3 linked regions of the Drosophila melanogaster genome follow. The protein of the gene in region 1 purifies or fractionates together with the protein of each later gene. This does not show direct contact. Each region holds a gene or a part of one and is shown in the gene's direction. Other genes may lie near its edges.

Region 1 (3,884 bases):
CGCGATCGCGTCACTCGATCCGTGGAAGCGAACAGTTTGACCACGCAGGGCACAATGCGTTTCTGGTACTCCACCTCGTCCAGCAGTTTGCCCAGCTGCAAGATTATAACTCTTTGTGAAATCAAGTCATATAGGAGTATGCCAATTCAATAGACAACCTTAAACATGGGAGCCAGCACGGCAGAGCCCGCATCTCCGTACTCGTAGGCTGTTATCAGCTGTGGAAGAATCTTATGCCTGCACACGTTGTCCGGAAAGTTGTCGAGATGCGTGGTCAGACCACTGAAGAAGCGATTCTTCTCCGCCTTGTCCTTGATTTGGATCTCCTCTAGGAAGAGCAGTGTGTCCACCAAATCGTTTTTGAAAAAGCCTCCAGGCTTGCGGCAACGTGTGATTATATCCGCCGGGTTGGGACGATTCGAAGGCGAGGCGCCAACCAGCTCACAATAGAGCGATTGCAGGGACTTGGGTATGTGTTCTATATCCTTGAGGTTGGAGCGTTGCTTGAGCACACCGTTGAAAGCTTCCCACACGAGGCAGCCCAGGCCCCACATGTCCACGGAGCTGGTAGAGAATCCGATTTGAAGGATTATTAAAATAGTCTAAGGTGAGAGGATTACGTACCATTTGGTGGCCGCCTTGAGCTTGCTCGGATCGTTCTTTTCGGGGGAATCGTAGACCTCCAGGGTCACAGGTATTTTGGCGGGCGGCATGGGATTACCATCCGCCGCTGAGACGTACTCCAGGCTGCCCAGTTTCCATTCGCCGGAGGCATTGACAAACACCGACCAGGCGGAAACATTGTTGTGTCGCAGATTGCCATCGTTGTTGAGAAAGGACAGGGCGCGCTGAAAGGGATTGGTGACTTGGTTAGCTAGGGCAAAATATCAGGGATATGGATACCCACAGTGATCTGGAAGATGCCCCAGGCCAGGTAGAGGCCCTTTTGGACATTGTCGCTGCCCAGCTTGGAAAAGTAAGTGCCCAGCGGATCCACCGCCTCGGTGGCCACGTACAACATCTTGTCCGTTTCCAGCGAGTCCAGATACTGCAGGATGCTGGGGTGACGCAATGTCTTGAGGCGCTTCAGCGCCGCCTTGGCCAGCTCGCACTTGGTGTCGGATCCGCTACGGATGTCGTAGACGAACACAGACACCTCCTCCAGCGTCGTCTTGCGCTTGGCCTTGTGCAGCGTCCATATGGAGTATTGGTCAAAGCCGCCCACCGGTTCGCCAATGTCGTAGGGGAAGTCTTTCGAGGAGTCGCGCGAGAAGAACGACCACATTATGTGTTTTGCTCGGCGGCTCAATATTTTGTTACTGTTGTGTCACACAGCAACAGCAACAACAACAGCAACAACTGGCGATTGCAACTGCAACAACAACGCACTGCGCAGGCAACACACGCACGCACACACGCACGCACGCACTCACACACACGCACACCTTGTTGCTGCCACACAAAGGCACTGAAATCGGTGGAGCCCCGATTCTCGGTTTATCCTCAAGCACTATGCCTCTGTCTTTAGCCTTGGCTTGAGCCCTATCCTCCTCATGCCAATCCAGCCGCCTGATGTCCTTTATTTTCCTCCGATGCGCAGCAACAATTTTCCAGCTTTGCTTACGCACACACACACGCACACAGCTAACTTATCCGCTGTTTTTCGTCCCCAGAGGTCTCATCCCTGGGATCCCGGGTGTCCTGGACAGGGCGATCGTGTCTATGTGGCTCTGCTGCGGGTCGGGGGAGTCAGTAGATCGGATCGGGCGCTCGTCTCCGTCGAATTATCCTAATCTTTTTCCCGAGTACGTCAGCTTTTTTTTGCGTGAGGCGTTAGTGACGGAACTTCGTGGCTCGTGCGTGAGCAGCTGATTCCAAAACAGAGCTGGCAAGGAGAAGGAAAACTCTGGTCGAGGGTAGAAAACAAGCTGGCATCTTTGGCAAACCTCTTAATCCTTATCAATTATTATTCTGTTTTTAACTCTATTGTCATAATTATGAGTTACATAAATTCAAATTAATTTCAAGCTTTATTGTGCATTCTGAAGCTTTCCAAAGAAGTTTTGTATTTTATCCAATATTAATAGTTATATGTAGCACAAATCCATTATCCGAAATTTCCATAATTAAAATAAATTATTTAATATAATATTTTACCGTTCACCACGAATCGCCACCGCGTTAACCCGAACTGGGTGGCAACTCTGCTCGGTGTTATAACACTCGTTGTGGCGCAGCCAACTTAACGCAAGGTAGGTGAATTTTCTCAATTTTTGCCGAGTGAATCGAGCTAATTTTCGCGACAGGGAATCTTCGACAACTCACAGGATGATGATGCAACGCACCCAGCTCCTGCTGCCCCTGGCCATGGAGGCCACCATGCTGGCCCAGCAGCAGCGTGGCATGGCCACCCTGAAGATGATTTCCATCCGCCTGAAGTCGGTGAAGAACATTCAGAAAATTACGCAATCGATGAAGATGGTGTCCGCTGCCAAGTACGCTCGTGCCGAGCGAGACTTGAAGGCGGCTCGTCCTTACGGCATCGGCGCCCAGCAGTTCTTCGAGAAGACGGAGATCCAGCCGGACGAGAAGGCGGAGCCCAAGAAGCTGCTCATCGCAGTGACTTCGGACCGTGGTCTTTGCGGTGCCGTCCACACTGGTGTGGCCCGTCTCATTCGCGGCGAACTGGCCCAGGACGAGGCCAACACTAAGGTGTTCTGCGTGGGCGACAAGTCGCGCGCGATTCTGTCCCGTCTGTACGGCAAGAACATCCTGATGGTGGCCAACGAGGTGGGCCGACTGCCCCCCACTTTCCTGGACGCCTCGAAGATTGCCAACGAGGTTCTGCAGACCGGTTACGATTACACCGAGGGCAAGATCGTGTACAACCGTTTCAAGTCGGTGGTGTCCTACCAGTGCTCCACCCTCCCCATCTTCAGCGGATCCACCGTGGAGAAGTCGGAGAAGCTGGCCGTCTACGACTCGCTCGACAGCGACGTGGTCAAGAGCTATCTGGAGTTCTCGCTGGCCTCGCTCATCTTCTACACCATGAAGGAGGGCGCCTGCTCGGAGCAGTCCTCCCGTATGACTGCCATGGACAACGCTTCCAAGAACGCCGGTGAGATGATCGACAAGCTGACCCTCACCTTCAACCGTACCCGACAGGCGGTCATCACTCGCGAGCTGATTGAAATCATCTCCGGTGCCGCCGCCCTCACATAAGCGAATGGAATGTGTTCGAACAGCTCTAACGATTCATACAGCTAATTGCATATGGTGCCAGGCACCTGGAGCTACGCCTGGAGCCCTAGTAATGTTACTCTTTCAGAAAAACCCCAGAATAAATAGCGTGGAACGAACGAAAATAACTTTAACCATGGAGTCCTTACCTAATTGGAGTGGGAGGCAAGGAATTTGAAAGCACTTGCACAGGTCTGTTTGGTTTTTACACATTGATATCATGGGATTCGATTGCATTCTTATGCAAAGACCCATTGATATAACTTAATGTGCATAAAGTCTCAAATTTCAAGTGGCAATGACTAATGACCAAAAAACTATTGGAACGTTTATGTATATTTTGATACTCTTTAAACTTTCAGAAATTGGTGGTATCTACACTTTGTGCTTATCTATGGAATTAAGGCGTGGGATTTCAATGGGATGCTTCTTCGTTGCCTAGCACATATTCTGCAGCACATTCAGTATGTAGGCTCCAATGTCCTCGTCCTGGTTGGTCCACGATATCAAAATGTTCTTCTGCTTGGGATCCTTCTCGTCCTCCTCCACCTTCACCTCAACGGATTCGATGGCTATGGAGCCGTTCTCCTGCATCGTCACCGTCCAGCCGGCTAGCTTTTCTTCGAGCAGAGTCTTCAGTCTTT
Region 2 (6,625 bases), on another chromosome or scaffold:
TGTTTTATTCTTAATTAGTTGAGATTGACAACTAATCATAAAGATCGGATGACAAGAAAACCTACATATAATTTTGCCTGAATCAGATAGTACGAAGGGTATACACTTTTCGAAGTATCTAAAAGTACCGTAACAAAAAACAAAAGGAGCAGAAGATGAAAGCGAAGAAGCAAAAAGAGGAGCAACGACCCAACATTGTTGTTGTCTTATGCCGCTGCTTCTTTGCGATGTTGCCGTTCCGCTCGCACCGCTATAGCTTGGGGTCAATAGCTAAGGATCGGATCTGTTGTATATATGTTTATATAGACCGATTGCGGTTAGTTCTCTTATCAGAAATAACATGAAATATATTGCGTTGCGACGCCACTGGCGACCGCGACGCAGGCAGAGGGCAAGACAGCGGAGAAGAGAGTGAGTGAGAGTGTGACGGCGGAGAGAGAGGTAAACAAAAATACACAAACACATACACATGCGCGCTACAGCTGCTCGTTCACATGTGTATGCGGGCCTGTATGTGTGCAACAAACAAAAAGCAGAAAATCCTTCTCTTCTTCACACCCTTTTTCCACAACAAAGTCAGCTGTGTGTGTGAGGAATGAACTTTAAGGCAAGCTTTCTGTTTCTATTTTTTGCAGAGTTTTTCCAACTGAAAGGCGCAATTTGCTAAGACACCTATACACATACACGAAGAGCCAAGCAAAATAGAAGATATAACAAAACAAAATAGAAAATAAGCAGAGCGAAAAATATATAGACAGCTATCTATGCACACAAACACAAACATGGGGAAACACTGTTGTTTTTCGCAACTGCGTTTCGCCTGCAGGTGCGACAGAGAGGGCGCGAGTGGGTGACAAACTTGGGTAAATGTTGCAAGCACTTACGTCCTGTGTGTTTTGTTTGTTTGTTTGTTTGCTTGTCGCCTTTCGCTGTCGTTCGCCAACAAACACCTCAGCGCAGAGCACACACGCGACACGCACACACTCACACACAGTCACAGAGACGTGCACAAATAGCAGCCGAAAATGGCACTCTCTTCTTCTTCACTTGTATAATAATGCAGCAATCTGCATTGTTTCGTTTCTATTTCCAATTGGAATTTGTTGTTGTGCTGCCTGTGCCAGTGTGACCAGGTAGCGCGGTGGCTAAAAATAGTCGCTAACGCCAGTTTTGAATGTTGCGCGGGTAAAAGATTCGTGAGATACGAAAAAACTCCGAACTTTAATAAAAGGATCTAATAAAAAAGGAAATACTGAAAAAGAAACTAAACAAAATCAAAAACACCAGATTCATAACAGTATAAATGGTCGCATGGTTATGCCATGTAAACACACCGTTATTAATCAAAGTCTTAATCTAATAAAGGAAATTTCATTTTTTAAATTATAATTTTTGGAATAAATAGTTTTTCTTTTAATATCATTTTTAATGTACGATCAAAAGCAATATACAAAAAATTTAAGCTTTTAATTGGCGATGCCAGACTAATGAATTAAAAGAATAAGTGTTGCCACTAAAAGTTTATTGGTCTATATAATTTGTTTATTGATTGAGGCACTTTATTATTATAATTAAAACACTTAATTATTATGTGTGAAATGATTGCACTTTTTATTTTGTAAGAGCCTGTTGCGTATTGAAAATTTTGTATTTTGTCTTGTCCTCTAAATATCGTAAAAACGCGTTATTGCTAGATAAGTTTTGTATTCCCGGCTGGTCACTCTGACTTAAACGTTTTTCGCAAAAACAGCGGCTGATCACTGAAGTTTTCTCGTGTTTTTCGCTATCAAACCGAAATAAAAACAGGTGAAAATAACTGATAAATTGAGGGGTAGTCCACTGATCACAGTGCCCGAGGATTTGCAATGAAAAGCGATCGAAATTTGAGCTGGGGAAACGCAATAGCAGCCGCCGCCTAACCTACAAAGTTACATAATTTGGTTATTTTGTTGTTATGCTGGCTGGCTGTGGCAGAAAAGACTTTTAATCCTGAATTTATCCTCTCGTTGCAGCCCAAAATGTCCTTCGTTAAGAACGCCCGTTTGCTGGCCGCCCGCGGCGCTCGCTTGGCCCAGAACCGCAGCTACTCGGATGAGATGAAGCTGACCTTCGCCGCCGCCAACAAAACCTTCTACGATGCCGCTGTGGTGCGCCAAATCGATGTGCCTTCCTTCTCGGGATCCTTCGGCATCCTGGCCAAGCACGTGCCCACTCTGGGTAAGTTCGATCATTCAGTTTCAGTTGCCTCGAGATGGTTATATCACCGTTGGCGAATCTCTTTGCTATTGCAGCTGTCCTGAAGCCCGGCGTTGTCCAGGTGGTGGAAAACGATGGCAAGACCCTCAAGTTCTTCGTCTCCAGCGGTTCCGTCACCGTCAACGAGGATTCCTCCGTTCAGGTTCTGGCCGAGGAGGCCCACAACATCGAGGACATCGATGCCAATGAGGCGCGCCAGCTGCTCGCGAAATACCAGTCACAGCTTAGCTCCGCTGGCGACGACAAGGTGCGAATCTAGTCAAGAAGTTGCATAGTAGAGTAGTGTCTAGAAAGTAGAAGTAGTGGTCCAGAAAGTACAACTCAAACAGACTCTTTTGATGGAAACACTGCTTCCACCATTCACGCCAACTGGCATTTAAGTTACTAAACGATTTCTATGTGCCCATCCTTTTTACTTGATATACTTTCTTTGTACAAACAAGTTTGCTCTTAAATTAACGCTTACACATTCGATATTTCCATGAGTAAACTTATGTTTGAGTTGCTTTTGCATTCTGTATTGCACATTCTGAAGCTATCTAAACGAGACTTAACCACGATCCTTGTTTTGCAGGCCAAGGCCCAGGCTGCCATTGCCGTGGAGGTCGCCGAAGCGTTAGTCAAGGCTGCCGAATAGACGTAATCACCACACAACCGCCACCAATAAACCACAATCGATGCTTTGTGTCTGAAATAAATAAAAAACATAACGATCACCTTAAAAAGCCAGAGAGTTATGAAACAATAAAAAAGCGAATCATAATATCGTATTAATGACCCGTGATCCACCAGGCAAATGATTTTTTTTTCTTTTTTTTTTCATGTTATGCCGCTAAACTGTGTGTTTATATAGTTTATAATATATGTATGTGAGCTGGTGAAGAGAAATGTGTAATATTTGCTCGCTGTGGGATAGACCGTTGATATGATAATGCTTTGGCAATCTTTAAGTCAAAAATATGAGTGATTTGCATTTTGGCCGAAAGAGACGAACGTCGTTTCTTTTTCCCTTGCCAATTTATGCAAATCGCATAAGCATAAAAACTTACAATTTGTAAATGAGCTCGTCTTTCATCTTAACAAATAGTATAGTTTGTATTTCATCTGGTGTGTTGCATTCATGGATAGTTCGCATATCTTATCTCGGATGATTGTTTAAATTTCTCTCAAAAGTAGTAATAAAAAGCAACTTTGTTTTTTTTTTATGGAAACAAGAATTAATCAATGGCTAAAATTATACTTTTGGCAGATAGAAGATAATCCATTTTGAAACTCTTTATAAAGATGATAAATACTATAGAATTGAAAAAAGAAAATTGGATTTTTTTTTTTTGGAATTGTCTATGTATTTGGTAACAAAAAAATGTGTTGTAAAAAAAATGTCTTAAATTAACTCATGGCGTTGTGTGGGAATGGTAATATGCTGTCGATGTAGTTAGCAGGAAGGTCCTCCGATAGATTGGCGAATTGTTCTAGTATCCCGGTGGGCCGTAGGTCTGGGCAGGGGCGTGACCGATGGGCAGGGACTGCTCCTCGGGAGCAAAAACGGGTGCAGGAGCGGGATGTGGCACACTCAGGACGGGAGCGGGTGCTGGGGCGGCATAGACTGGAGCTGGGGCAGGAGCGGAGTAAACTGGAGCGGGAGCAGGAGCGGAGTAAGCTGGAGCGGGAGCAGGTGCGGAGTACACTGGAGCGGGAGCAGGAGCAGAGTACACAGGAGCTGGGGCAGGAGCGGAGTACACTGGAGCGGGAGCAGGTGCGGAGTACACAGGAGCGGGAGCAGGAGCAGCATAAACTGGAGCCGGAGCTGGAGCAGCATAAACTGGAGCCGGAGCAGCGATCTCCTGAGGAGGCAGGTAGGAAGCGACTGGAGCAGCCACTGGTGCGGGCACATCGATGGGGGCATAGGCTGGACCGGCAGCTGGAGCGGAGTGCTCATGGATCACACGCACCACCTTGGTGGCTCCACCCGAAGAGTAACCACCGGAGGAGTAGCCACCCGACGAGTAGCCACCCGACGAGATGCCGCTGTCGTGGCTCTCGTGAACGACCTTGATGACCTGGGACACGGCACCGCCGCCAACCGAAGAGCCGCCGATGAAGGATGGTCCAGCCACGGGTCCAGATGCCACATTCACCACCTTGACAATCTGCGGAGCGCTCTCGACCAGCGGGGCACTCACAATGGGTGCGGATTCCTGCAGGATCTTGATCACCTTGACGGAGGAGGGGGCGGGCCCAGCTGGAGGCAGATAAGCGGGTCCAGGAGCGGGTCCATAGCCACCGCCGCTGCCGCCAGAGATGACCTTCACCTTGAAGATCTGGGGAGCCGCCTCGTAGCCATAGCCGCTGCCATAGCTAGCGCCGGAGGAGTAGCCAACGCCGCCCTGCTGATGGATCACCTTGACCACCTGGACTGGGCCACTGGGTCCATGGCCGCCATAGCCGCGAGCGCCACTACCACCGCCGCCGCCTCCGTTGCCACCACCGCCTCCGAGGTTAAGGCCGCCACCACCGCCTCCACCGCCGCCACCGCCGAGGAGTCCCAGGAAGCCAGCGTTGGCCACAGCGAACAGAGCACACATGCAAACGAAGACCTGGAAGGATGGCAGAGTATAAGAAGCGATTTAGTTTCATGTTTCATGTTGCATCCTTAGAGGATTTTAAAGAATATATAAAGTTCATTAAGTTTTTGTTATGTTTTCCAATTAGAAAGTAGAGTTTTATCGCTGGTTTTTTTTTCTATATCTTTAAAGGATCTTTGATCTTCATAGACTGTATTTTCCAAATGGATATACTTTGTATTCATTCTTTGTTTAAATATTTTCATTTTCAATCTTCTGATATTCTTCAGCACACTTTGTATTTGAATATTAACTATCACTTCTTCGAAAGTTCGAAAGAATTTAAACTGAGCTCAGGATGCTCTTGCCACTTTGTCACTTTTCAAATCAGTTTGGATAAATAAAAAAAAAAAAACTAGAAGAGGATATTTGCCGGCACAGGACATTGTGAGCAGCTCACCTTCATGCTGACTACTAATCCACTTGATGCGATGATACCAATTCCAAAAAAAAAAAAACGCCTTGAGTGCCGATGAGCAAGCGACTGATGTCCGATCGATTGGAGACCAAGTCTTTTATACGATATAAGCCAGCAAGGGCGAACAAAAGGCGTTTCATTAACATTTCCAAACTGCCCATCAACGCCATCATCATCATCGCCACGATGATGAGCAGCATCATGATGATGGGCTTTCGTTTTCATTTCGATTTTCACCAAATGCTGCTGGACGCACCCAAAAGTGCCAATCGTCGTGGTTGGTTCTTCCATAGCCAGTTGGATTCGGAGCTACCAGCTACCAGCTACCAGCTACCAGCTACCAGCTACCAGCTACCAGTTTCAGTTTCATCAAGTCTTACGCTGCATTTCCCAAATTCCGAATGGGGATCCCACAATTAGCATGAAAATGAGACGCTACGTTAGTGATAAGCTCGGAATGGGGCTTTCATATTTCGTATTTTTTTTTTTATTCGGCATCTTATGTTTTATGGTTTAGGTTTTCGTTTTCATTTTGATTTTGATTTCGATTTGGATTTTGGATTTTGGTCAATTCAATTTGCATACACGGGCGTGCTGCAAAGCGGTTGCCTCACAAGGCGGCCGGCAGTCTGTCATAAACCAAAGCGAAAACCTAACCCAACCCAACCCAATCCAATCCAATCGAAACCAAACCAACCCATTCCATTTCACCTCATCCGGCAATTTCAAGGTGAATCTGAATCGGAATCTGTTGTCAAGCCGAACCATCTCATTGATGGTGGCTATATTCCATCTATATGCAGGTATTTATAAAACGAGCCGATTATTATGCAAGCCACCAGTCGCATCTTCGAGCCATGTAAAACGCATTATGTTGGCCCAATAGGCCAAAGATGTTGTAAAATTGGCCAACGGTTCGGATCAGTGATATCTGTTGGCGCATTTTAAATAGCCACTAAGTATTACATACTTACAACAATAAACATATGTTTATTTACACAAATATTCAACATAATCAACTGATGTGCATATATATATATATCCATTTAGAATCATATTTCTACTCAGTTTATAACAATTTTATAAAATACTATCAAATTGTTCAAATTGGTTATGCTTTTCGGTTAAGAAACGTATTAATTTATACCAAAAAAAAAAGAGATTTTCAGTGGGCAGATCAGATTGGTGGGAAATCAAGTAATATCCAAGAAATGGTTGGCTAACCTGCACTCTGCCACTAATCGTGATTATGATCTTGTCGCGGTCTATTATGGTTTGTTAATTGATCCATGCATGGAATGCATCTGTTGAGAAACTACATACATAC
Region 3 (4,086 bases), on another chromosome or scaffold:
CCTGGAACAGAATCCGGGAAGGGATTCCAATCAGGAGAATGAAGCAACTCCTCGCACGTACACGCTGCGCAATCGGCGGGTGAATCTGCGTCCCTCCTCCGAGTTTATGTAGTTTTGTCTATTGACAGTAATTGTCCGTTGTGGAATTGTTTATACTTTTATCTTCTTAGTTTAATATTTTTTTGCGGATGCCATTAAGTGTTAATTTATTAAGATGTTGAAAATTACATTTGGCGTTTTAAATGTTCGACGAGTATGTTCTGTGAAAATGAAAGCTTATTTTATTTTTAATTATCTATCTTACCTTGATTATAATTTAGACATAGTTAAAGGAATAAAAAAGAGAAGAATAAATAAATTTGAAATGCTTTTCTTATTGAAAGGGGATCGAAATTTAAAATTAACAATTTAATATCACAACACAGAAATTTGATTACGCGACTCAACTAGTAAAACTTGAATTTTGGAGTTCCAGAAAATTAATATTAAAATATTTGCATTTTTCAAGTTGTCTAAATAAATTTTAAGAATTTAGTTTTGGTATGAGTCTTTGCTAACATATTACCCAAGTCATTCACCTTCATGGCTCCGTATAATTTTGAAGTATTTTCCAGTATTTCCTAAGGAAATTTCAGTATATCTGCGTGTGTATGGCGGTATAATTTAACGGTAGCGACACGGTCTCACCCTGATTCATAAAAGTAAAGGAAGACCACTCGACGGCAATTTAAATTGAATTTTGAATTTTGCTGTTGCACTCGATTGTAAATACTCGTTGATAAGGCCGCCAAATGAAAGTGCACATAGCTGTGATATCGCGACGCGCATCTCACCGCAGTGACTAACCGCCTCGCGACCGTTTCGTTCGCCCGCGACGCCCTTTGAGTTCAACGCATTCACATTTCCCAGTGTGCAGATTTTCTTTTTGTTTTGTCCGCAGTCACCGCGCACTGCATTCAAAACAGCGCCCAACACACAATACGCGAACCACAGCGGCACAGCATACACAATACACACCCAGCATGGACACGAGTGGCGGAAATTTGGGTAAGGATCTGGTCATTTCGTATTTCAAATTGAATTTTCAACCTCTGGTACAGCGTGTACTCGCCATGGCAGTTGGGCCATTCGCTGGCGCGCAAATTGATCTCCTCGATTTGCGGCTCCCCCTTCGCTTGTCTACCCCCCTGCCACAACACCGGCAAGCTAACTTATGAGTGCGTATTGCATTGCGGTGTGCATATATCTGGCAATGGGTCTGAATTTAGATTTTTCGTAAGTTTGTGCACTCTGCTGACGAAACGAAAAAGTGCTTTTAACGATCTGGGAACATCCCATGGCGCTGCGTTGCCAGACAGCTTGTTACACACATGGGCATTTGTATGCTTGTGTTGGTGTTTTTAGTGGGGTACAGTCTTGGGGGCAAATGTTTTTACACTGTAAAAAGTATGCTAACGTGCAATTAGAGAATTGGCAAGCACATAAATTTAATTAGCAAGTTATATTTGGCATTGGTGTGTCCTATGAGTTTAGACGAGTTGTTGAGATGGGTGGTTAATGGGTGGAAAAAAACGCGCACAAAATAATAACGTCAACAAGGGGCTGCCACCCCTTTCAATGTTCTTATGCAAAAGTAGCAGTCAAATATATTACTCTATTTCAAAGTAAATATTTAAAGTAGTAGCCTGTTTTAATTAATGTTAATGTTTTATAATTATTTTACCATTATAAATTTTTTTTTTTTTAAATAATTTAACGTATCGATAAGTGGGTGGCCTATCGGACAACCTCCACCATGTGGCAACTCTGGCGCACAGCACATTTCAGGGTTTACGCAATTTCGAGCCGTAAGATTTTCTTCGACCTGTGAAAAGGCTTTTTACCCCCTGCCAGGATAGCTAAATCTTCACTCGTAAGTGCAGCAGGAGCTATCCATCGCGTAGCTCATATTCTAATCCACACATTTAGTTAAAAGCGCCAATAGGAAGCCCAGAACCATGTCACATGCATTTGCCGCCGCCGTCTGCCGGTCCACCGCATCCATGTCATTGGCCCTGCGCTGCAGCCGGCGCGCCATGAGCTCTGCCAGAATGCTGCGTATGGCGGGTGCCACTGCCACCTCCACGGCCTGCAAGGATTGGCAGAGAAACGGACTACTTGCTGCGCCCAGAACCGGCAACATGCAGCAGTACCTGCGCGAGTACGCCAACGAGAAGAAGGTGTTCGAGCGAACCAAGCCCCATTGCAATGTGGGCACCATTGGCCATGTGGATCACGGCAAGACCACGCTCACGGCGGCCATTACCAAGGTCCTGGCCGACAAGCAGCTGGCCGAGAGCAAGAAGTACAATGAAATCGACAATGCGCCCGAGGAGAAGGCTCGTGGTATTACCATCAATGTAGCCCACGTGGAGTACCAGACGGAGACGCGTCACTACGGCCACACAGATTGTCCGGGACATGCCGATTATATTAAGAACATGATCACCGGCACAGCCCAGATGGATGGCGCCATTCTCGTTGTGGCCGCCACCGATGGCGCCATGCCCCAAACTCGCGAGCATATGCTGCTAGCCAAGCAGATCGGCATTGATCACATCGTGGTGTTCATCAACAAGGTGGACGCCGCCGATGAGGAGATGGTCGACCTGGTGGAGATGGAGATCCGAGAGCTGCTTACCGAGATGGGCTATGATGGTGACAAGATCCCTGTGGTAAAGGGCTCGGCGCTGTGCGCCCTCGAGGACAAGAGTCCCGAGATCGGCAAGGAGGCGATCCTGAAACTGCTCCAGGAGGTGGATAGCTTCATCCCCACGCCTGTGCGCGAGCTGGACAAGCCCTTCCTGCTGCCTGTTGAGAATGTGTATTCGATTCCCGGACGCGGCACCGTCGTCACTGGTCGCCTGGAGCGCGGAGTGGTCAAGAAGGGCATGGAGTGCGAGTTCGTGGGCTATAACAAGGTGCTGAAGTCGACGGTGACGGGCGTGGAGATGTTCCACCAGATTCTGGAGGAGGCGCAAGCCGGTGATCAGCTGGGAGCTCTGGTGCGCGGCGTTAAGCGAGATGACATCAAGCGCGGCATGGTCATGTGCAAGCCGGGCAGTGTGAAGGCACTCGATCAGCTGGAGGCCCAGGTGTACATCCTGTCCAAGGATGAAGGCGGTCGCACAAAGCCCTTCATGTCCTTCATCCAACTGCAGATGTTCTCCCGCACCTGGGACTGTGCCGTGCAGGTGCAGATTCCCGATAAGGAGATGGTCATGCCCGGCGAAGACACCAAGCTCATTCTGCGCCTCATCCGGCCAATGGTCCTGGAGCAGGGACAACGCTTCACGCTGCGTGACGGAAACCTGACCCTGGGCACTGGTGTCGTCACCAGCACTCTGCCCCCATTGACTGAATCGCAGCGATCCGAGTTGACGGAGGGCAAGAAGGCGCGCGAGAAGAAGGTGGCGGCTAAGAAGTAGATCCCCGGAACGCCGTCAGTCATTAACTAAAATCATATTCTTAAGCGATTTTTATGCATATTGTATAAGTTGTTGGCGCTCCAATCACAATCGAGTAAAATATAAACAAACACCTATGGACAACGAAGTTTTAAAACTTGGAATATTAGTAGGGATCTTAAAATTGATTTAAAATAGTACGGCTTTTAAGTATTACTGTTGTTGCCTGACATTTCGGCATTTCAAAGGACTATTTGTTATATAAAGTTATGTAAGTAAGCATTGATCATTGATAAAGGGCAATATTTAATTTAGGCGCCACTCATCGATTGCTTATCGCTCTATGTTAACGGCATCCGAAATAGAGTGGTATCGAAATGGAGCCGATAAAATCAAACAAGGCCGATAATAACCTGACTACGACATTTTACAACACTGCTGCAACCGCCTTGAACGCAGCTGATGATAAAGAACATTTTGAAATTGATTTGAAAATTGGCAAAAATGAGTACCTACCGCGTAGACTACTTGACCGGTAGATTCAAGCACCGTAAACGTTTGTTTGCAAAGTAATTAATAACTTATTTTGTCCGCAGATTCCCTAGACGACACGGAACCATTGCCGGAGCTGAGTTTTGAA

Evidence for each region. The genes of interacting proteins can lie anywhere in the genome.
Region 2: the proteins of ATPsyngamma (region 1) and ATPsyndelta purify together in Drosophila melanogaster (affinity purification with mass spectrometry, with the first as the bait; one large-scale study listed by BioGRID). This does not show direct contact.
Region 3: the proteins of ATPsyngamma (region 1) and mEFTu1 purify together in Drosophila melanogaster (affinity purification with mass spectrometry, with the first as the bait; one large-scale study listed by BioGRID). This does not show direct contact.

The regions. Positions count from the first base shown.
Region 1 is NT_033777.3:29,747,192-29,751,075, reverse strand, and holds ATPsyngamma (ATP synthase, gamma subunit), read left to right. Parts: upstream 1-1,912; 5' UTR 1,913-2,252; exon of another isoform or gene 2,253-2,306; 5' UTR 2,307-2,328; coding exon 2,329-3,222; 3' UTR 3,223-3,361; downstream 3,362-3,884. Other genes in the region: yata, read right to left, coding at 1-95, 159-564, 625-848, 908-1,285; IntS11 (integrator 11), read right to left, coding at 3,679-3,884. UniProt on the Drosophila melanogaster protein: Mitochondrial membrane ATP synthase (F(1)F(0) ATP synthase or Complex V) produces ATP from ADP in the presence of a proton gradient across the membrane which is generated by electron transport complexes of the respiratory chain.
Region 2 is NC_004354.4:10,211,269-10,217,893, forward strand, and holds ATPsyndelta (ATP synthase, delta subunit), read left to right. Parts: upstream 1-1,701; 5' UTR 1,702-1,806; intron 1,807-2,012; 5' UTR 2,013-2,018; coding exon 2,019-2,217; intron 2,218-2,291; coding exon 2,292-2,503; intron 2,504-2,830; coding exon 2,831-2,893; 3' UTR 2,894-3,728; coding exon of another isoform or gene 3,729-4,853; 3' UTR 4,854-5,280; coding exon of another isoform or gene 5,281-5,286; 3' UTR 5,287-6,125; downstream 6,126-6,625. Other genes in the region: CG2962 (uncharacterized protein), read right to left, coding at 3,729-4,853, 5,281-5,286.
Region 3 is NT_033778.4:13,505,747-13,509,832, forward strand, and holds mEFTu1 (mitochondrial translation elongation factor Tu 1), read left to right. Parts: upstream 1-1,810; 5' UTR 1,811-1,912; exon of another isoform or gene 1,913-1,968; 5' UTR 1,969-1,997; coding exon 1,998-3,467; 3' UTR 3,468-3,586; downstream 3,587-4,086. Other genes in the region: mars, read left to right, coding at 1-112; mip120 (Myb-interacting protein 120), read left to right, coding at 3,951-3,981, 4,043-4,086.